Caenorhabditis elegans: one gene and its partners. The protein of the gene in region 3 purifies or fractionates together with the protein of the main gene of each other region. This does not show direct contact. Each region holds a gene or a part of one and is shown on either strand. Other genes may lie near its edges.

What was found.
Region 1: the proteins of maoc-1 (region 3) and hpd-1 fractionate together in Caenorhabditis elegans (co-fractionation; one large-scale study listed by BioGRID). This does not show direct contact.
Region 2: the proteins of maoc-1 (region 3) and ttr-35 fractionate together in Caenorhabditis elegans (co-fractionation; one large-scale study listed by BioGRID). This does not show direct contact.

What each region holds. Positions count from the first base shown.
Region 1 is NC_003281.10:10,532,956-10,540,317, forward strand, and holds hpd-1 (4-hydroxyphenylpyruvate dioxygenase), read left to right. Parts: upstream 1-2,570; 5' UTR 2,571-2,592; coding exon 2,593-3,003; intron 3,004-3,165; coding exon 3,166-3,462; intron 3,463-4,074; coding exon 4,075-4,548; 3' UTR 4,549-4,728; downstream 4,729-7,362. Other genes in the region: nlp-68 (Neuropeptide-like protein 68), read right to left, coding at 5,375-5,408, 5,747-5,819, 5,876-6,206. UniProt on the Caenorhabditis elegans protein: Key enzyme in the degradation of tyrosine.
Region 2 is NC_003284.9:6,509,568-6,515,552, forward strand, and holds ttr-35 (Transthyretin-like family protein), read left to right. Parts: upstream 1-2,717; 5' UTR 2,718-2,719; coding exon 2,720-2,809; intron 2,810-2,854; coding exon 2,855-3,064; intron 3,065-3,107; coding exon 3,108-3,245; 3' UTR 3,246-3,351; downstream 3,352-5,985. Other genes in the region: glr-8 (Ionotropic glutamate receptor L-glutamate and glycine-binding domain-containing protein), read left to right, coding at 1-48, 97-297; ttr-36 (Transthyretin-like family protein), read left to right, coding at 1,370-1,514, 1,568-1,704, 1,747-1,845, 2,551-2,589.
Region 3 is NC_003280.10:7,191,918-7,199,745, forward strand, and holds maoc-1 (MaoC-like domain-containing protein), read left to right. Parts: upstream 1-4,358; 5' UTR 4,359-4,420; coding exon 4,421-4,508; intron 4,509-4,556; coding exon 4,557-4,698; intron 4,699-4,744; coding exon 4,745-5,222; intron 5,223-5,285; coding exon 5,286-5,474; 3' UTR 5,475-5,578; downstream 5,579-7,828. Other genes in the region: E04F6.4 (PLD phosphodiesterase domain-containing protein), read left to right, coding at 39-247, 292-502; acdh-12 (Very long-chain specific acyl-CoA dehydrogenase, mitochondrial), read right to left, coding at 672-812, 869-1,017, 1,062-1,198, 1,244-1,959, 2,008-2,121, 2,169-2,484, 2,532-2,635, 2,682-2,846; E04F6.6 (uncharacterized protein), read right to left, coding at 5,604-5,837, 5,992-6,324, 6,376-6,625, 6,673-6,810, 6,856-7,017, 7,063-7,161, 7,357-7,448.

The sequences.
Region 1 (7,362 bases), on a different chromosome or scaffold from region 3:
GTCAAAATCCCAGAAATTTTCAATTCCGGCAATTTGCCGGAAGATTTAAATTCCAGCAATTTGCTGCTAATAGCCTCACTTTTTGGCCTAGCATCTGGCTAATTTTATTCATTTTTTGAAGATATGTTTAAAGTTGGATAGGTACCCCTAATGTTGCCCTAATGATACTAAATGCTCAGCTTAACTAAATTTACTTAAACTCTGATGAGGCGTCATAGACTACCCAATGCAGATCAATCGTTTCAGAAATAGCACCATGGATTGTTAGTATTGCAAAACTCATTCACACTGATTTCTAAACCATAAAGCTATTACCCCCCTCTGCAACCTGTACTACGTGCAGACTTCCACCCACATAACTGACGCCTATTTTCAATTCAACACCGTCATTCTGATGATCGGCTTCCTTGAACAACCTCGTTTTCTTTCTTTTTTTATTCGCCCTCTCTCTTGCAATGCAAACAATCTCTTATCACCATATCAATGTCTGTGATTGCCTGAATCTCTAAAGTATTTCGTCGCTTCCTTTCCCGATATAGTTACATGTTATGTCAATTAAGTGTATGTGTGTGTAAGATAGGAGACAGAAACAACACCAAAAATGAATTTCAGGTGATGGTTTTCTTTGTCATGCTGACTGAAAACGTGTCAATTGGAAAATGATGGGTCAGGAATCCTGCCTATCTTGATAAACCGGGTGGTGGTGTCATTGATTTATAAGGGTACGCGTGGAAGAACGCGGATAATGATGATGAAATGTAGACAGAGAATGATTCATTATCATATCTCTATTGATATCATATTAAAATAATGTTGCCACGTGGCACTATACTTACCTTACTTGTTTTTGCTCAAGCTTTACAAAAGTGAGCCCGGAAACAAAAAAAAGTGAAACAAAAATCGGGTGTTTTTTTCAGAAAATTTGAATTTCCCACTAAAAATTGTCTTTCTCACAAAGTTTGAATTTTCCGCCAAAAATATTTTTATCAGAAATTTGAATTTCGTGCCAAATTTTTACCTCAGAAAATTTAAGTTTTTCTGCCGAAAATTGTTCTCAAAAATTTTTTCCCGCTGAAAATTATTTTTCAAAAAATTTGAATTTCCCGCCAAAAAAATTTCTTTAAAATTTGAACTTCCCGCAAATTTGAAGAACGTTGAACAGTTAGTCCGTGTGATTTGATCTACTCGATCTCATTGATAAGATCATATACCAAAATACTATACATCTATATTCCGACTACAAACTCCCATGACACCTCACCATTCTTCTCACCCCTCCCCTCAAGCATCTTCCGATCTTCAAAGAGTTTCGTCGCCAAATTAGGGTCTCCACAGCAGCAGCATCTTTCAACGAAACGATGCCGACCCACGTGCGTTATCAGTTTCTTTTGACCACATTGCATCACTATTTGTGGTCTCCTCAATGTCACGTGTCCAACTTCCCCCGCCCCCAGCCCGCCCCTTTCGACGTCGACTCATTTCAGTTTGTCGACGACGACGAAATTCGTGACGATCCGAATTTTGCGTGAGGGTGCTATAAAAGTCGGCACTTGCATTATGTGCAGTAACACAGTGCCACTATAGTCTACTAGCACTCAGATGTTGTTTACAGTTTTTTCTTCTTCTTTCTCTCTTTCATTTTGGCGAGTTGTATCTCGGTTCATATTGTAGATATTTATAAATTTTAAACTACAAAGCTTTGTCAAATGAATTTTTTCATATGCTACATAGTTTTAAAGCTTTTATGTTACATTTGTTACTATACAGTACTATTTGTAAACTATATTTACCTAGTTTTAAAATATTTCCAAAAAAATTTTATTTCGATATTGTTTTTAGACAACCCTTATGCCACCCCAATTTTCAAGACATACAATGCCGGTTAAGGGATTTTCCAGAAAGAGTTTAAATTTCAAAACGTTTACTAACAAGATGTGGTGTATTTTTTCCGTTCATTAAGCGGCAGACGACTTGCGGGCCAATTTTTTTAACATTAAATCTGCAATTATCTGTAACTCAAGTTGATGTTTTTATATAGAACATTTGAACAAAAATTGAATTGCCGGAATGGAAATTTTCGGCAAACCGGCAATTTGACAGAATTTAGAACTTCCGTCAAAACAGCAAATTGCTAATTTGCCGCAAAAATGGTAATTACGGAATATTTTCGGCAAATTGTGGCTGTGCACATTTTTTTTTTGGAAATTTTAGATTATCAATTTTATCATTTTTAAATCGGCAAAGATTATCAATTTAATTCTGCATAATTGTACGTATCCTATGAATGCTCCTACATCTATTTTAAAAAGCAAAAAATTTCCATGAAAAGATTTCGAAAAAACGGGCAAAAAATTTCCAAAAAGGCTTAGTTTCCGTCTTATAAAACATCCCTTTAAAAACTTCAGGCAAATTGTTATTCGGCAATTTGTCAAAAATCAAAGTTTCCGGCAAGTCCACAAACCGACAATTTGCCGAATTTTTTCGAAAAAAAAATTTGCCGAACTGCAATTGCTGCCCACCCCCCTGGACTTTTTTCTTCCTTTTTTATCCTTAAACTCTATAAATTCCAGAAAACTCAAAACTTCAATCAAAATGACTACATTCGACAAAGGAGCAAAACCAGATATCGGCACTTTTGTTGCATTCGACCATGTTAGATTTGTAGTCGGAAATGCTAAACAAGCTGCCTACTGGTATTGTGCAAACTTTGGCTTTGAGCCATTTGCCTATAAGGGGCTCGAGACAGGATCTAGAATTACTGCTCAACACGCTATTCGACAAGACAAAATCGTGTTCATTTTCGAGTCAGCATTGTTGCCTGATAATTCAGAACTCGGAAATCACCTTGTTCAACATGGAGATGGAGTTAAGGATGTGTGCTTTGAGGTTGAGGATCTTGATTCGATTATTGCACACGCAAAAGCTGCAGGAGCAACTATTGTGCATGATATTACTGAAGAGTCAGATGCTGATGGATCCATTCGATATGCTACGCTTAGAACGGTAAGAGACTTAAAAATAAAAATATCTTCAAAAATTCCGAAGTTGTTAAATTGCACTGAAGATTGACCAGGAAAATTTGGTGGAATTAAAAAATTTTTGAGAAAAAATTTTGACGAGAAATGCAAATTTCTAATAATCCAAACAATGAAATATTATTTTTAGTATGGAGAAACCGACCACACCTTGCTGGAACGTAAAAATTATCGTGGAGCATTCCTGCCCGGCTTCAAGGCTCATCCAATGCCAGCCACATTCTTCAAGACTCTTCCACGCGTTGGATTGAACTTCCTCGATCATTGTGTCGGTAATCAGCCAGACTTGCAAATGGACTCAGCTGTTCAGTGGTACGAGAAGGTGCTGAAATTCCATCGATTCTGGTCTGTTGATGATTCCATGATTCATACCGAGTACTCGGCTCTTCGTTCCATTGTTGTAACGAATTTCGAGGAGACTATTAAGGTTAGTTAATATAAAGAGATCGATGGAGTGCGGCTGTCCTGTGAGATGTCGGCTGCTAGTTTTTATTGTAAAGAAACAGCAGCCGACAAATCGCGGGTTTTAAAAAGACGCACGACCTTTTTTAATTCAAAAAATTATAGCAAGATTTCTTGTGGAAAATACATATTAGTAATTTTCAACAAAAAAAAATCAAGATATCGATTTGGTAAATACGGTGTCCTATGAGATGTCGGTTGCTAGTTAGTCTTTATAATCAATAGAAAAATAACAGCAGCCGACATATCGCGGGTTTTAATTTTTTTTTCTTGTGGAACAATTGTGTACTCTACGTGGGAAATGAATAATTGTAATTTTCGTGTAGTCCTCCAGGGCATTTTGAATATGGAATACTGAGTATCTAAACATTTTCAACATCTATTTCAGAAACCATTTTTTAATTTGAATACGACGAATGTTTTAAATATTCGATTTTTGGGAAAATAATTGAATTTTCAAATAATTGTGTTTTTTTTTCTGGCTCTCCAGAAAATTGACAAAATAATTTAAATTATTTTCTGAAAAACACTGAATAACATAGAAAATGCTTAAACTTTTAATACAAAAATTTTGCAGATGCCAATCAACGAGCCAGCCACATCGGACAAAAAGGCAATCTCCCAAATCCAGGAATACGTGGATTATTACGGAGGATCCGGTGTTCAACACATCGCACTCAACACATCCGACATCATTACTGCAATTGAAGCTCTTCGAGCCCGTGGCTGTGAATTCCTTTCCATTCCATCAAGCTACTACGATAACCTCAAGGAACGTCTCGCGGCTTCTTCAATGGTAGTTAAGGAGGATATGGATCGTCTTCAGAAGTTGCACATTTTGGTGGATTTCGATGAGAATGGGTATTTGCTCCAAATCTTCAGTAAGCCATGCCAGGACCGTCCGACACTATTCTTGGAGATTATTCAGCGACAGAATCATGAAGGATTCGGAGCCGGTAACTTTAAGGCTCTTTTCGAGTCTATTGAATTGGAACAGACAAAGAGAGGCAACTTGTTCTATGATAATGTTAAGGATGGAAATACTAAGTAACTTATATTTTTTTTATTTTGCAACGACACTTCGTTGCCAAGACCCAAAGTGAATTCCATGTGCCATGAGATTGTATTATAGTTCCCCCTAACAAAGATACCCATTCCCACAACGGTTTCCTGTTTTTTCTATTGATTCTTGTTGCATTTATATTGAGAGAATAAAGATTTTATGAAAGAATTGTTGAGTCTTAATATCAAAACAAATGTGGAACCCGTGGGTCGTCGGCCGCTGCTTTTTAACACATGCGGCGAGGTGACGCCATGAGGCAGGCGCAGGCACCGTTACGGCGACCTCATGAGAGCCCTAAATTTTGCATATAAATGGTCGGCTTTAGTCAATCTCAATTTGTGCACTAAAACTTATGACTGAAAATCCACTTTTTCTGCTTGAACTTAGCGGATATGAAACTTTTTTTATTTGGTTTTTTTTACATTCTGAATGAACACAAAATTTGCAACAGAATGGCTACGGGGATGTTTGAAAAAGTTAGTTTGAAGCCAGATATTAATTTTTAAAAATTGGAAACGTCTTTCCTGATAATTCAAAATACTCATCGAACCATTTAACAATCTCAAACTCTGCCACGTGTTTATTGTTCTCGACAAAGAAATGGAAGGGGAAAAGGGGGTTCTGAGGAATGGTCTGGGGAATGGGAAAGGGCAAATAATATAGAGAAAAAAAACGGAAAGTGTCGTACCCAAATATGTGCACAAAAAAATTAAGGTTTCCTTTTGAAATTGTTGTTGTGTTTTTCAGAGTATTTCAACTGTTGATGGATTTCAGTTCGACCAAAAAATTGATGATGATGCTCTCTGTAGATGTTCTACCACGTGTAAATTAGTCGGTTTGGGCCATATCTGCGAAAAAAATATTTTTTTAAATGAAAGAAGTAAGCCGACCATTCAGATAATTTTGAAAGCACGCAGGCAGAAAGCTCGGCCACAGACTTGTTTTTCGCGGCCGTGTGGAGCTCCGTGAGTTGACACGTGGCCTAGGTTCACAAAAATTTTCACGGCCAACACTTTCTCTTTTTTACGAAGACCACGTGTCTTCAGTACAAATTTGTGGCCGAACGTTCTCTTTGTCGGCTTGCAATCAGCAAAATACTGCAAGCCTAAGTGTAGGCAGAGACGCTTGCCTATTAGAAGCGATTTAAGGCATTTGATTTGCGTGGGCGAAAAATCAAAGAACCTACCGTATCCTTCTCAGTGGATCCATAAATTGTCTGTGGGCGTCATCATTGAACTGGAGTAGCTCTTCAAGGAACACTGAAAAAAGAATCAAAAATTGAATTAGTCATTTTCTCAACAACAAAAAAACTCACTTTGTCCCCTCTTAAGAGGTGGCTCCCTCACACGAACCAGCGGAACCGTCTGTTTGGCAGCCGACGGATAGACGACGTCACCTCGTTTAAAATCCCCGCTCCGCTTCTTCAACGGCGGTTCTTTGATGAGCCGCGGAATGCTCATCGGATCGACGCCTCGTTTATCGCGGAGTGATGGGAAATCGGGAGTGTCGTCTTCGGAGGAGGAGGAAGTGAGAACCTCCAGGGGACCCAGAAGAAGTACCGTCGGTTGATCTTTGAGCAGTTCACGACGCATCACGCGCATACCGAATCCGACAGAGAACAGGCTGAACAATAAAACCAACAGCATCTGGAATTGTGAGAGTTGAGAATTGAAATAGGCTGATTCGGAGTATGAAACGAGTACAAGAATAGTTATAGAGAAGGGCATATTTTTTCTCGGAACTTTGAAAACTTAACTGGGTTTTAACATGGTTCAATGAACTCAATATAAACATGTATAAAAAATATAAATAAGATACAAACTAGCAAGGTGGTAAGTGCAAAATTAGTTAAAATGAACCGAAAAATTCTATAAAACTATGACTTGCATTATTCTTTATTGTGAAAAAACTATTTAAATTACATTTTTTACTGTATTGTAGTAAAAAGAGTTCGATATTTTGAAATTCAAAAAAGTTATCAAGTTTTGAAAAAAAAAGAACTATCATAAATATGTTCAGTTGTGAATTTTTGGTAAAATACAAAAAAAATCAGTTCCAGTTACAAAATAATTGAGATGGTAAAATAAATTAAAAGATTTTTCTGACATGGCACGTGATTTCTCAGAAGATTCTCAAAAATTTAAGTGTTGTAAAATGAATTAATGATTTATTGGGTTTAATTGAAAAAGGGGGAAATGGATCAGGAAAAGAATTTGGGACATAATGGGCTTCGGTCAGAATATGTCAACAAATAAGGTTTAGCCTAGGTCTAAATCAAGGCCTAAGGCTTAACCTCAGGTTAAACCCAAGGCTAAGCTTAAGCCTAATCCTAATCCTAAGTCTAAGGCCCAAGCCTAAGCCTAAACCAATGCCAAAAATTTTCCAAAAACAAGTATGATTAAGCGATTAAAATGACGAGAACTTTGTAAATGCCGGAAATGGGAGAAAGTAGGTCAAATGTCAGAGTAATCGGATCCACCAACAAAAAGAGCCCGTTGCCCGTCTGATGCTCAAACACTCACATCAACCCCACCACCACCCACCCCCCTTGAACCAGCTGTCGGAGTTGTTGGTGCAAAAATCGAGTGCATTACGAAATTCGAGACGTTGCTGTTGCTCTTCAGAGGCTCCCCCAGGCTCCACCCATTTTCTTAAGGGCGCTAACTAACATATTTTTTTTGGGTAAAACCTGGCACGCCAAACCACAAGTGGCCTATTTGCAACTGGCGGTGATTTTCAAGTTTAATGTGGGAAAATGACGAGCTGGGAAAAGAACACCCATTTTGAAAAGAAACTTGAAGA
Region 2 (5,985 bases), on a different chromosome or scaffold from region 3:
TTAGCTCTTTTCGTTGGCGAGTTTATATTCAAATTTTTCAGAGAAAAGGTGAGTTCATTTTTAGTCTTCTATATATTAAGAAATATGTAATTTAAGATGACGAAACACACGAAGACAACAACTGTGCCCCCAGAAGTTGCAACAGTTTCTGCGAATGTAGCTGAAAACTCTACTAGTTTAGATATCCCAGATGAAGTTCTGCCTTCTGCACCTTTACCGAGTGAAGATGGGAACTGGAGTTTACGCCGTCGAAATATACTTAATCTTTCTCTTGATTTATCAAATATCGCAAACTGATGAATCAATCTGATCTCTTCAATTCATTTTCCTATTGAACCATGTGGCTTTCCAAACGTTCGTAATGCAATAAATCGAGAGTCTTCGGACCAACTGTCGTCTTGTTTTCGGTCAACACGACGCCTTATGGCACCCCACTAGCTCATTTCACAACCACTTTCTTCAACGTTATCACTTGACCTCGCGTATTGATTATGATATTTTATCGCGTTTTATCTTTGATTTTATAACTTTCAGAAAACATTTAATTATAGACGTTAGACTTTAACCCCATTTCCAGTTTTTGTTTGATTATTATTTTTCTATTTTTTTTTTTTGAATATGATTCAAAAGACTAAAAGTCCAATGACTTTTTTTCTGAACGTCAAATAAGACACCATAAAGGAGGAGGTTCTGGTTTTTGTTTTGCTTGTACGTACGTAAAATGTGCTCAAATAAACAATATTCAAAATGAGACTTTTCAAAAGTTTCTCAAAATTTTTATGGTGGTTCAAAATTTAGAATAAACAGTTTTAACTAAATTCTCCAGTTTTGACAACTTTTTGTGTAGTACAATTTGGAAAATCGTTTTTATTTTATCATTACTTCTTGTATATATTGTGTGTTTATCTAACATTATCCCGTTTATTTAAATGCTTTTTGTGAATTGATTGATCAGCCACAAAAGATTTTTTAACCATTTCAGTAATTTATCAAAAAAACAAACATGTTGGGGTCTGTTGGGTCTCAAAACAATTAAAAATTTCAAAAACCAAAAAAAAACATTCGGTTTTGCACAGAGAAATTTGTACTTTTTACTCTATAATAGTTCATGATTTCTATACTCGGAAATGTGAGTTCAGACAAGTGACCCAAATCCATTTATCAAAATTTGAACAACACTGTCACTCAATTTTGATTTTATTGTGTTTGACTTAAATTTTCTCGGAACTGTCAACATTTCGTTATCTACTTCATTAACTCAACATTTCGTCTCTTTCAATAAATATTTTTTCTTGACAATTGATACCTTTTCTCGAAAACTAGATTATTTCCCAAAAATATGAAATTCAACTTTAAATTTCAGTAATAGATGATGAAGACTCTAGTTCTTACATTACTATTAATCGGTGGAGCATTTGCATTCCGTACTCAATCGACTGGAGTCAAAGGTAGACTCATGTGCGGAAGTAAACCAGCTGCTGGTGTGAACTTGAAACTTTTTGATGAAGATAATGGTTAGTGATCCTCGATTAATTGCAAGTTTGTGACGTACCAATTGAATTTCTAGGCCCAGACCCAGACGATGTATTGGATCAAAAAACAACCGATGACGATGGAAACTTTCTGTTGTCTGGGTCTTCAATGGAGCTGACACCAATTGATCCAGAACTAAGAATTTTCCATGACTGCAATGATCAAGGAAGCGTAGGTGCCAATTTGTAATATTAATTTTTAACCTTTTTTCAGCCTTGCCAACGAGAATGGGTTATCCGGATACCAGCAAAATACATTACTAATGGGCCAGAAGTGAAGGAAATCATGGATCTAGGAGTTTTAAATTTGGAGGTTGGTGATTGATTAAAAGTACTTTTGGTATTTATGGGTTTCGTCCCCCCCCCAAAGTGATTTCCATATTTTCTAATTGAGACGTGAACTTTTTCTTCATTCTCAGGCTTAGGGAAATTATTTTCTAAGCCTAAACATGAAAACAGTATTAAAATAAACATTCACGTGTGGATTAAAATTAAAAAGGTAGTGTTAAATAATTAAAAATCATTTTGGGGGGAACGAAACCGTGTACCGTACCTTTTTATTGTTTTGTGTTTTTATCAGGTTTTATAATAAGTTTTCGAAAAATTATTCGATATATAGGTGTGCGGCTCAACCTATATGTAAATCCTTGTATAGCCTATTTTATATTTACCGTATATCCTCTATTAGTAAGGCGTGCAAAACTAATTTTCGGACACCTAATTTGATGCAAAACTAATAGAGGTGCAAAACTAATAGAGAATATACGGTAATATAAATTTGACATGCTGATTTGAACGCTGCATAGTGTCGTCCGTGGGTATTTTGCTTTAAGTTGCATTGAGTTAAAGTGAAGGTGGGTCGGCAAAAAGAACCCCCTCACAATGTTTAGCAATATTATTAAAAAACAATGTTAATAATCATATTCAGTAATTGTTTTCAAGTTCAAATGAACGCAATGATTGAAAAGCTGGCAAATTTAATTTTCTAGTCAAAAATTATCAATCATATTTTTTTCAGATCGAATTGGACAACGAAAGTAGAAGCTGTGCTCACTAACTGAATAATGTTCAACTTTAACAAATAAATATGGTTCTTAAAATTGTTGTCATCTTTAATGTTTGGTTTCTGACCAACTTTTCTATCTTTTTTTTTTAATTTTCCTTATTAAAATTTGTATAATTCAGAGATGATTTCCAAACTTTTGATCCTTGGAACATGTGTTCTATCAGTTGTCTTGGCTGCATCGGAATCGCACTCTGGACGTCAAAACTACAGAGTGGGCTTTATCAGAAATTCAAATTATTTAGACAGTTTTTTTCAGGTGAAAGGCGCGTTTAGATGTGGCAATGTTCCAGTAAAAAATGTTCAAGTAAAGCTGATAGATGACGACTTTGGATCCGACCCTGATGATGATTTGGGTAGCGGCTATACAAACGCAAACGGAGAGTTCGAATTGAGTGGATCCACCACGGAACTCACAACTATTGATCCTCACCTGAAAATCTACCACGATTGTGATGACGGAATTAATGTAAGTTTCTAATTATTCATGCAACACAAAAACTTATTTTCAGCCATGCCAAAGACGTTGGAAGTTTGAATTGCCAAACAACTACATTTATTCGGACACTGACACACCGAAGACTTTTGATATTGGAATTTGGAATTTAGAAGGAATCCTTCCTGGAGAGAGCAGAGACTGCAATCATTAATTTTTAATTTGCCTTTTAAAAACTATTTGTATAAGTTAAATCATTCTAAAAAGCTATGTTTCGATTGAATTCGCATTATCAGTTTTGAAATGAAATTTTCTATTAATAGCGTCACACTTGATTAAAAAATTTGATCACATAAAATTTTAAGTCTAAAACTATATTTTTTAAAACTTTTATTCTCAAACTATTAAAAAAACGAACAATTTCTAGGTGCCAGGTAACAGGACTCTAAACAGCTCATGTGGCAAAAACACAAGCAAAATTATGATTACAAAAAAACATGTTAAAAACTTGAGGCACTGACCAGTTGGAACAAAAATTTGAAAATTTCTGGTTCATTTCTGGAGTTTTGGAATTTGCAATTTTTAATATTTAGTTTGCGAGCCGGTCGGTGCTAATGTAATTCTGCACAACTTTACTTGTAATGAAAACATATTTTGCCTAGATGAATAGAAAAAATTAGTTGATACTTGTATCTATCCGAATTGAGCTCAGCTTCCTTTGACCCGTAGTAGACCACAATATTTTAAAAGTTATCAGATAATCGGAGAGTTTATTGTTTTTGTGTTAAGTTGTTTGTAGTATGAAATTAATAGCAATATTTCATTTATAAGAAATCATACAAAAATATCGGTATTCTGAATTTAGATGTCAATGAGATTATTGTAATAGACGATATATTGAAAACGTCTTGTTATTTTCAGAATTTTGAGAATAAAGTTAAACTTTCAGTATGCACCTCCTTACTAACTATTTTTGAAAAGTATTTCACTTTTCCATATTCACTATCGCCTCCTTCAGCCTATTAAAGATGGCTTTTTTGAGGCCAAATATTCGGCGATGCTATCTTCCAAAAATTTTAAGTGTTGCGCATCTTGATGACGCTTCCAATACTGTCCGCGCATACCACCACTAGCTAACTTTCCTTTTTTAGAGAAAAAACCAACGTTTTCCATTTTTCTTCCATAATCTCGCTGACCGTCTTGCGTTTTTTTCTGACACGACATGCCACCGGCGTAGGATCGACGCTGTCTCCCGGCCGCGCCAATATATTTGTTGTAGTAGTGGAAGAGGCGAAAGTGAAACATGCTTTTTTATTGGTGACCACGACCCAGAACAGTAAGAGGTGAAGAGATTTGAAATCCGAAGGTGTTTCATCCGACCTATATTATTGGGTCTCATCTATTCATGCGAGTGTGCAAACAAATACTTTCTTCAACTCAAGCAAAATTTCACCGAACGCACTTTTATTGGGTCATTCACCTATATTGTCACTTTTCAAAAAAAAAGTTTCTGTTATATGGCTTAAAAAATTGTACATGCTTTTCCATTTTATATGTTTTCCGATTTCTACTAGGTGTTTTGGAAATCTGTTCTTGTAACTTGAATATTGATTTCATGTACTCCGTGCAGACCAAAATGTTTCGACATTTTACTAGGGTTTAAAGGCCAAAGCTAAATTATCCATCTTTTAGTTCAAAGTTTATAGCATCAAAAATACATAAACGATCAACAAACTGTCACAGTTTTGCCCGCTAATCATGTTTAATCATTTATATTTCAACATTGTACGGTCTGAACATGCAACATTGCATTAGATTTCTCGGTACCTGGTGCAAATTTAATTTGACTGGAAATAAAATACTTTGAAACGTTTTGTTAAAATATTGGGTAATTTCAGCACTATTTAAATGAATTTCTATGATTTCTTCACAGGTCGTAGTCATCATTTGATTAAATTGCCACCAACTCATACATATAAACAACTAACAAAATGCCAATCTTTTTTTATTGATATCGCTATCATCTTCTTCTTTTATCAAAGTCTACTCTAAGGTGTTGATATTGACGAATGACACCACAATCATTATCTCTTGCAAATGTGATAACTTTTATGACGCGAATCGCCACTAGCTTTAGAGATATGCAACAATGACGATGAAGGATCGGTTGCGCCGCCGAACAAGCGATAACAAATCTGACCCGACGACTCCATAACAATATCCACTTTCCTTATTTCCTGGTTGAAATTGTTGGGAACTTTTAGATTGGAAACTGAATTTTGCCATTAATCATCTTCTCAGATTTTTTCGGTTTCCATACAAACCTTCCAATTACCTCGTAACCGATCCTTCAATTTTGCACGGAGCTTTACTCGTTTTTTCATTTCTTTTTTGTTTCTAGCTTTTTCCTCAAAATTCATACTTCATCCCTATTCTTTCTCCTGATCATCCTCTTAAGCTGGACCTTTCGTTTTCATCAAGACTCGTCAAAAGGTGAAATGACAGTAAGTGTGGCGTTGTACACGTTTCTTTTCATACAGTAATAGTGTACACATCATCTTTTCTGCTTCTTCCTACCGATGTGTTTTTTCTTGCAAATGTCCGGGAAAGTGAACGAAAGTAAACTAGTCGGTAAAGAAAATCGTCGTTCATCCTACAGTCACCGTCTCCTTCACTATGTTTCCCTTCTTGACAACGACGCTCCGCAGAATCTTGTTGAAGTAAAAAGAGATCATGTGAAGAAGCCTACGGGTTACGAGGCAGACAGAGAAAATGAGAGAGACAGAAACATATCGTACACGGCTTCTTCGAGACAGACAACAAGGGAATACGAGAGAAGGAAAAGGCCACCCCAATGACCTGGATCCTCGCTCTTCACTCATTTCACTTTTCTCGTGACGCACCGCGCCAGCACTTTCACCTGAAATCGGCCTCCCTCATCTCTGTTTCGATCC
Region 3 (7,828 bases):
TTCGCAATTTGAACATTTATTAAATATAAATATTTCAGAAGTTCATTTTAATTCCACAAACCGCTCAAGAAGCTTATAAAGATCGTAAGATGCATGCAAAATTCATGATTTCCGAATCAAGAACCTTCATTGGTTCATCGAATTATGGACCTGAATACTTTTACAAATCAACTGGAACTGCAATTATTGTAGACGAAGAACCACATTATGGAGATATCAATAGACAAATAAAAGCTGTATTTGAACGGTAATTAAATATAAAAAATATTTAAAATGTTTCATTGTCTTCAGATACTGGCATAGCACGTACTCACAAAAACTTCAAAAATACGGTGAATCAAAAGGTTATCTTCCAAAAATTTCAAAACCATCGAACCCATTCTCCGGATGGTTTGGGTTTGATCAAATAGGAGTATTTAATGAGAAATACTCTGCTGACGGACTAGTTTACGAGAAGAACCATGGAGAAGATCAGATTCTCGATCCGCTTATTTTCATTTAATTTCGTGTATAAAATTTCAATTGATAAAATTTATTTTCCGTTTTTTATAGCACAAGAAATAAAATATTCGCACCCGAAAATTCAAAAAAGAAGGCAATTCAATTCTAGATACATACAGACTGGCTAAAAGAGCTTCTTACGATAAAAAAAAACAAGTCTAGTTTACAATTTACAATTCAACTGGATGTTGAAGAGTGAGTCCTCCATTTCCACAGACTTCCTTCGCCAATGATTCAATTGTTGCTACCTTCGAAGCATTCTCAACACCACTTCCGGCATCCTTCAGGAATCTGTTTGATGATTTCATCGCCTGAAAGAGTAAATATCGAAATTAAAACTTAAAATTTGGCAGTTATCAAAAATTACCTTATCAACGTAGTAAGTAGCAACTTTGCGTTCAAAATCAGCACTTGAAGATTTGTTCTTGATGGCATAGGTGGCACGAGAAAGAACAGCGGCAGAGCTGTAAATGTTGATGGCAGCGTCGGCAACACGGTGCATCTCATATTGACGATCTACAAAAATTAAAATTAAAAGCAGTTCAAAGGTATTTTATTACCAATTATTCCCTTTTTATGCTTCATGAGTAATCCTTGAACTGTTTGTCCAAACAAAGCAATTTGCTGATCCAATACTTTAGCTGAATCTTGAAGACTTGCGTCGACGACTTGCCCAAAGTTGGAGCCAGTGTTTCCTCTGAAAAATACAGTTTAATAATTCTAAAAATGTGATTTCACAAACCCGGTAACTCTTGAAACAGCCAACCCAATAAGGCCCCCGACTCCAGAAGCTTGCTCGGCAAGATGCTTTCCAGCATGTTGTGCTCCAGTAAGAGCAATGAAGAGGCGGAGAACATCATTGGCTCCTTCAAAGATTCTGAAGATACGAAGATCTCGGAGAACTCTTTCAAGACCAGTCTCGCGCATGAATCCCATTCCTCCGTGAACTTGAATAGCATCGTCGCATACAAGCCAAGCATTTTCTGAAGCTAGAACCTTGCCGATAGCTGCTTCAAGTTGATACTCCTTAATTCCACGATCCATGTTTGATGAAAGCATATAGACAATTGACTCTGTTGCATACAGTTTCGAGATCATTTCTACCAGCTTTTCTTGGATATTTCCAAATTCTTGAAGTTTCTTTCCAAACTGAACACGAGTGGTGATGTGATCGACAGTCTTCTGGATACAATGTTTCATAGCTCCAGTACAGGCAGCTGGAATTCCGAATCTTCCGTTATTAAGAATGTTCATCGCCACCTTGAAGCCTTCTCCTTCTTTTCCAAGAAGATTTTCAACCGGGATTTTTAAATTATCAAAGTGAACTTCAGTTGTGTTCGATCCCTTGATTCCCATTTTCTTCTCTTGTGGTCCACTGGTGACTCCACCAAACGCTCTTTCGACAATGAATGCAGACATCTTGTCCTTTGTTGAGCCATCGGCCTGCTTGACAGGAGTCTGAATAATCAATTGTGAAAGTTTTTCCAAAAAATGAAAATAAATTACCTGAGCAAACACAGTGAAAACATCGGCGAATCCTCCGTTCGAAATCCAGATTTTTCCACCATTCAAAACGTAGTGCTTACCATCAGCAGACAATTCAGCTCTCGTTCTAACTGACTGAATAAATTTAAAGTTTATGAGAAATTAATAATATTCTAGCTTACACTAGCATCAGATCCGGTAGTTGGCTCGGTAAGAGCGAAAGCAGCAAATTTGCGTCCAGTTGCCAAATCGGGAAGATATTTTTGTTTCTGAGCATCCGTACCCTCGAGAAGGATTCCTTTGTAGCCAATCGACTGATGAGCACCCATGACAACACCAAATCCAAGATCGTAAGCTCCAACAATTTCAGCGACTCTGGCCATCTGAGAATTGTTGAATCCGGAACCTTCAAGCTCTGGTGGAACGAGTACACCAAATGTTCCTAGCTCAGCGAATTGGTCCAAAACTGCTCTTGGAATGTCAGAAGTCTCGTCATTTCTGAAAATAAATAAATTGATCATGTAAATTTAAGATTTATTATTCACTTTACGACGTCATTAACTTCGACAAGCATCTTTTCCAGTGGAGACATCACCATTCCAAGAGTTTCTTTCTGTTCGTCAGTCATATTCAGAGGATACGGAAACACCTGGAAATTGGCAGTTTGAACAGGTCCTGCTAAAATTCTCAAATACCTGGTCAGTCACAGCTTTCCCTCTGAAAAGATTCATGACAAATGATGGACTGTCCACTGCAGCGACCTTCTTCGGTTTTGCATCTTTTGCAGCAGCAGCAGAATGCGAAAGACGAATGAATCGTGTTTGGTTGAGCCGTGCAGATTTACTCAGCGTTGACAGCATCGTTTCTCTGGAAGAAAAAACCAATAATATAGGTTTCAATCAGTGAATCAGTAGGGGGTAAATAGCGATGACGGAGATAAAGAGTGAAGAAAACAACTTGGGGGTCGAACGGTGGATAGAGCAGAGACGCAGCATGTGAGAGAACATAGAACACAGACATAACAATACTTTTTTACACTGAACGTCCAAGAGCAATCAAAATAAATAGAATTCAGAATAAGTTTTATAGAAAAGTATTTAGCATTTTATATGAACGCAAAAAAGAACGAATAGGTTTTTTGCTTTTTTTGGATTACATAAAAGAGTGTTTCATAAAATAAGAAGTTTAAAAGTTAACTAAAAATAACTGGAAACATGGTTTGCTCAGTATTTTTCGTAAATTTTCCATAATAAACTGATTAATCGCCAACATACACAAACGATGGAGAGGAAACGTGGAGGACGGTCATTGTTATCTCTTGTAGACTTTGCCCTATGTACTTTGAACGGCCCTGGCTACGCACTAGTGAAAAGACAATGTGATAAAATACACTTTAGCGCAGGTTCGATGAAATTTTCAAGAAAAACATGATTTTATAGCTCTACGGGTCACCTCATGGTACTGAAAAATTCGTATGAACACTTGTTGTCTTATATTTTATCTTTAACGGCCACAAAATAAATTAAAATAGAAAAAAAACGACAATTACAGAAGTTTTCTGCATCGTACTCTGAAAGAAAAATGAATCCGCAATCTGTCGTCACGGTGTTACGGTGGTGTGTTCACACCGTCGGCACTATATTTGACGGCTCATGTTTTAATGTTTTTTACATCTGAATAAATCTGTACATTATAGAAACGAACCGTATGGAATTTGGAATTCTTTCAATGTACGAAAGTGAACGAGTGAAAATATAAACTAATTTAGCGAATGCACAAGTTTGAAAACGTGTGAATTTTTCGGAAGGCTTTTACGCGAAAAAATAAGCTTTATTTTTTTAATTAAAGAAAGAGAAATGGTTCGTAGAATGGATACTGTAATTTAGCTATTTAACAGTCGACAAACAATCCTTGGTTGTTTAAATATCGGAAAAAATAAATCGACCTTCCATGTTAATTTTATTGAACAGACGACAAGGCGTCATAGGTATTTGATGAATGTTTCTGAATTAAGAGAAATCTGAAACTGGTCTATTAATTTTTGTGCGTGCTTCGCTTCAAAATTCAAAACGAAGGAAATTTATTCGATCATTTTCTATAAGTTGAAACCCAAATACTATAGTATACTATGAACACGTTGTACATCTCTCCCGACAAAAGTCTAGTTTTTATATATTTTTTAATTGAAATTTAAAGCCTTGTATACTTTTTTTGCAAATTATTTAAAACATCTAATAATTATCAGTATGTGGTAATAATTCTTTTAGTGCTTATTTTTAAAAAAAAACTATTGATTTCACCCTCGTTATGTAGTCTGCAGCGTAGTCTTATCAACACATGGGGTCAAGACTACACTGTACCGATTCCTTGTTAGGTATTGGCATTTTCTATTTCATTATTTGGTTTTTGTTTCTTCTCCGACAAATACTTAAAAATGGATAAGAAAACTGCTTGCGCACATGTGGCAGAGCCATGCGAGTTCTCATATTCTACCAGAGATGCTATTATTTATGCTCTTGGAGGTAATTTTTTCTAAGACCTTTTGAATAGTGATTAATAATTTCATTTAGTTGGTGCTCGAGCGAAAGAAGATTTGTGCTACGTTTATGAGAACCATGAAGACTTTAAAGTGCTTCCATCGTACATTGTTGCTCCAGGATTTCAAGCTCACACTTTGATGGATTGGCCAGGAGTTGAATTTGATCTTCAGAGGTTTTTCTTATAAGATTTCTTGAAAACACATGTTTAATCATTTTAGAGTTCTTCACGGAGAACAATATATTGAAGTCTATCAACCACTTTCAGCAGAAGGAAAATTGAAATCTGAAGCTAGAGTCGTTGATATTCTTGACAAAGGATCCGGTGCTTTGATTCTTGGAAATGTTACCACTTATGATGAAAATGGAAAGAAGATTGCAATGCAACAATTCAGTACTTTTCAAACCGGTTCTGGTAACTTCGGAGGGGATCGTACATCACCTCATGAAATAAAAGCTGCCACTGTCCCAGATAGAGCTCCAGATGCAGTTATTGAACAAAAGACAACAGTTGATCAAGCTGCTCTTTATCGTTTGGGATCAGGAGATATGAATCCTCTTCACGTTGATCCAGAGTTTGCTAAGATGTCTGGATTCAAAACTCCAATTCTTCATGGATTGTGCAGTCTGGGATTTGCGACACGCCATGTTATCGCTGCTTGGGCTGGAAATGATTCTGACAAATTCAAAGCAATCAAGGTAGGTTTGATTAAATTTAACTTTAAAATATTTTCTGCTGATTCAAAAATCATTAATTTTCAGGTTCGATTCTCATCGCCAGTGCTTCCAGGACAAACATTGGTTACTGAAACCTGGAAGAATGGAAAACGAATTATTTTCCAAATGAAGGTTAAGGAAACTGGAAAAATTGTAATTTCCAACGCCTTTATTGACTTGCACGAGGCTTCCGAACTTCCAACAGTTCCAATTGATCTTGCATCAAAATTGTAAAAATTTAAAGAATTATTTATTCACTGGTAAGATTAAGTAGATCGTATTAGTTTTATCGTATTTTGTTTCCTGAATATCATATGTGAATAAACCGTTTTTTTCTTTTTCCACAAATTCTCTTGAAGATTATTATTTCCTTTTCTTCTTCCCAACAATATCATTGACTCCTGGGAATGTTACACCAACACCTGTATTCACCCCAACACCAGCCATCGGAACACCAACTCCAAAGTTTGTACCAACTTGACCATTTAGATAATCAACTCCAACGTGTTGATTCTGTTGATAATAAGGTCCAACTCCACCTCCAACATCTACGCCAATTGGTTTTCCAGCCTCTCCAGGTTTAAGGGGAACACTCACCTGAAATATTTTGATAGGAACTTATTCAACTTGTCACACACCGCTTCAAATATTAAAAAATGTACGCAATGCTTCTCTAAACTCGAATTCAAATTATGAACCGCCAAATTTGAAAAAGTTCGAGTAATAAATTTTCTGCATTAAAAAAACTCACAACAGCATGTGTGTCTCCTTCAATACCAAGTGATTGTACAAGTGGAACACTCCATCCAGACTTATATCCATATTTTCCTTCATACCAATTTGCTCCGATTTCTTGATATTGTGACCAATAGTCTCTTACACCAATATGATCGGAATAACCTCCTCCCCATGAACCAAATGGAACATTCATGAGCCTTCCTGCTCCAATTGCTCCTTCTTCGTTAATTGGATAGTACGGAATTCCTTTCACACTCCATGTTCCCAAGTTGAGACCTACATTTGAATCAAATGCATATGCAATATTATAAAGTGGATCTGACTTTGGAAGGAATCGTTGACAATCCTAAAGTAAAACCATTCAAATATAATATAAATTCAATTTCTAGAAACTCACATGGAAGTATCCCTTACATTTGCTTCCATACTTTTCCTCTGTCTTATTCCCACCGAAACAATGCTTCCTGACAGTTGGTAAAAATCGATTGCACAGTGCTTCCAAGTGTAAAGCTTTTCTGTGTACATCTGCATCTTCTGGACGTGGTTCAATTGCTGATGGTGGTCTATTCACAATCATTCCTCGAACATCAGCTGCCTTTGCCTTCTGATCAATCTGTGACTTATCAGTTATACCTCCAAATGGTGAACTGAAATATCAGACGATTATGAATATTTTCTGAATTATTAGAGGTACCTTGGTCTCTGAGATACTTCACTGTTATCAATATCAGCTCGATCAACTCCAAGAGCAGAGCTCCTCAATCCAAATTCTTCCATATTTTGTGCAAATCGTTGTTTTTCCTTTTCTTGTTGAGCAAGAAGTTGGTTATAACTTTAAAATAAAGTTTTGAATATTTCCAAAGTTTCAATTACTCACCGACTAACATGTGTATTAATTGCATACTGCTTCATTCGATCGAAATAATCCTGATAATATTGGTCTGAAGCAGCCTGTCGAGCCTTATTCGCTTCTTTTCTCTGTTGTCTCCATTGTTCCATCTGTCTCTCGTAAGCATCATCGTAACTTGGACGCCGATGTCTGGAACATATAACTTATTTCTGGATCTTCAATTATCTCGCTCACCTATGCCTTCTTCTAGGTTTTTGGGTTGTCTGTTCTACTTGTCCCCGTGCGAATTCACTTGGAGAATGATTATAAACTGGTCTTCCAGGTGATGTGTCTCTAAATTGATTAAGTTATAAGACAATATCGGAATTTTTTTGGCAACTTTTTTACAGATTTGTCGAGCATAAAATTAATATAAAATTTGAAAAATATACTCACAAGACTTGTTTACGCTAAAAGACTTATCTATAAGTTTATTAAAAAATTCCGCGGAAATAAAAATTTTCAATAACTTTTTCTTTTTAAGCTTACTTTGAAATTGGAATTGGTTCACCTCCATCCTGAGGTCGAGCTTCACTTCTCCAAATCAATAAAATGAGGAATGGAAGTAGTTGACGAAACATCGTCAAAAAAGCTGAGAAGACAAAGCAGTACTGAGTTTAACTGATAAGGTTAGTTAGCAACAAAATAATGATTACTGCAGAGGGTTTCTCGACGTCTTCACTTCAAGTCAACCGCCCGTATGACCTTGCTGACCGGTAGAAAATAATAGATGATGTTGTAGTTTGTATAGCCTCCTATTGTCTAAGCATTGATAATAATCCTATGGTTTGTGATTAAGAGAATGATTGGAATTACATTGTGAACCAAGTGCGTGTGAAATCAAATATAAAATAAATTCCCAGAATCCTTCGTGTTGAGTCATGTTTTTTAAAGGGTTTTAAAATCTCAAATTATCTCAAATTATCTGAAAAACTTTCAAGGTACTATTTCGATAATACTG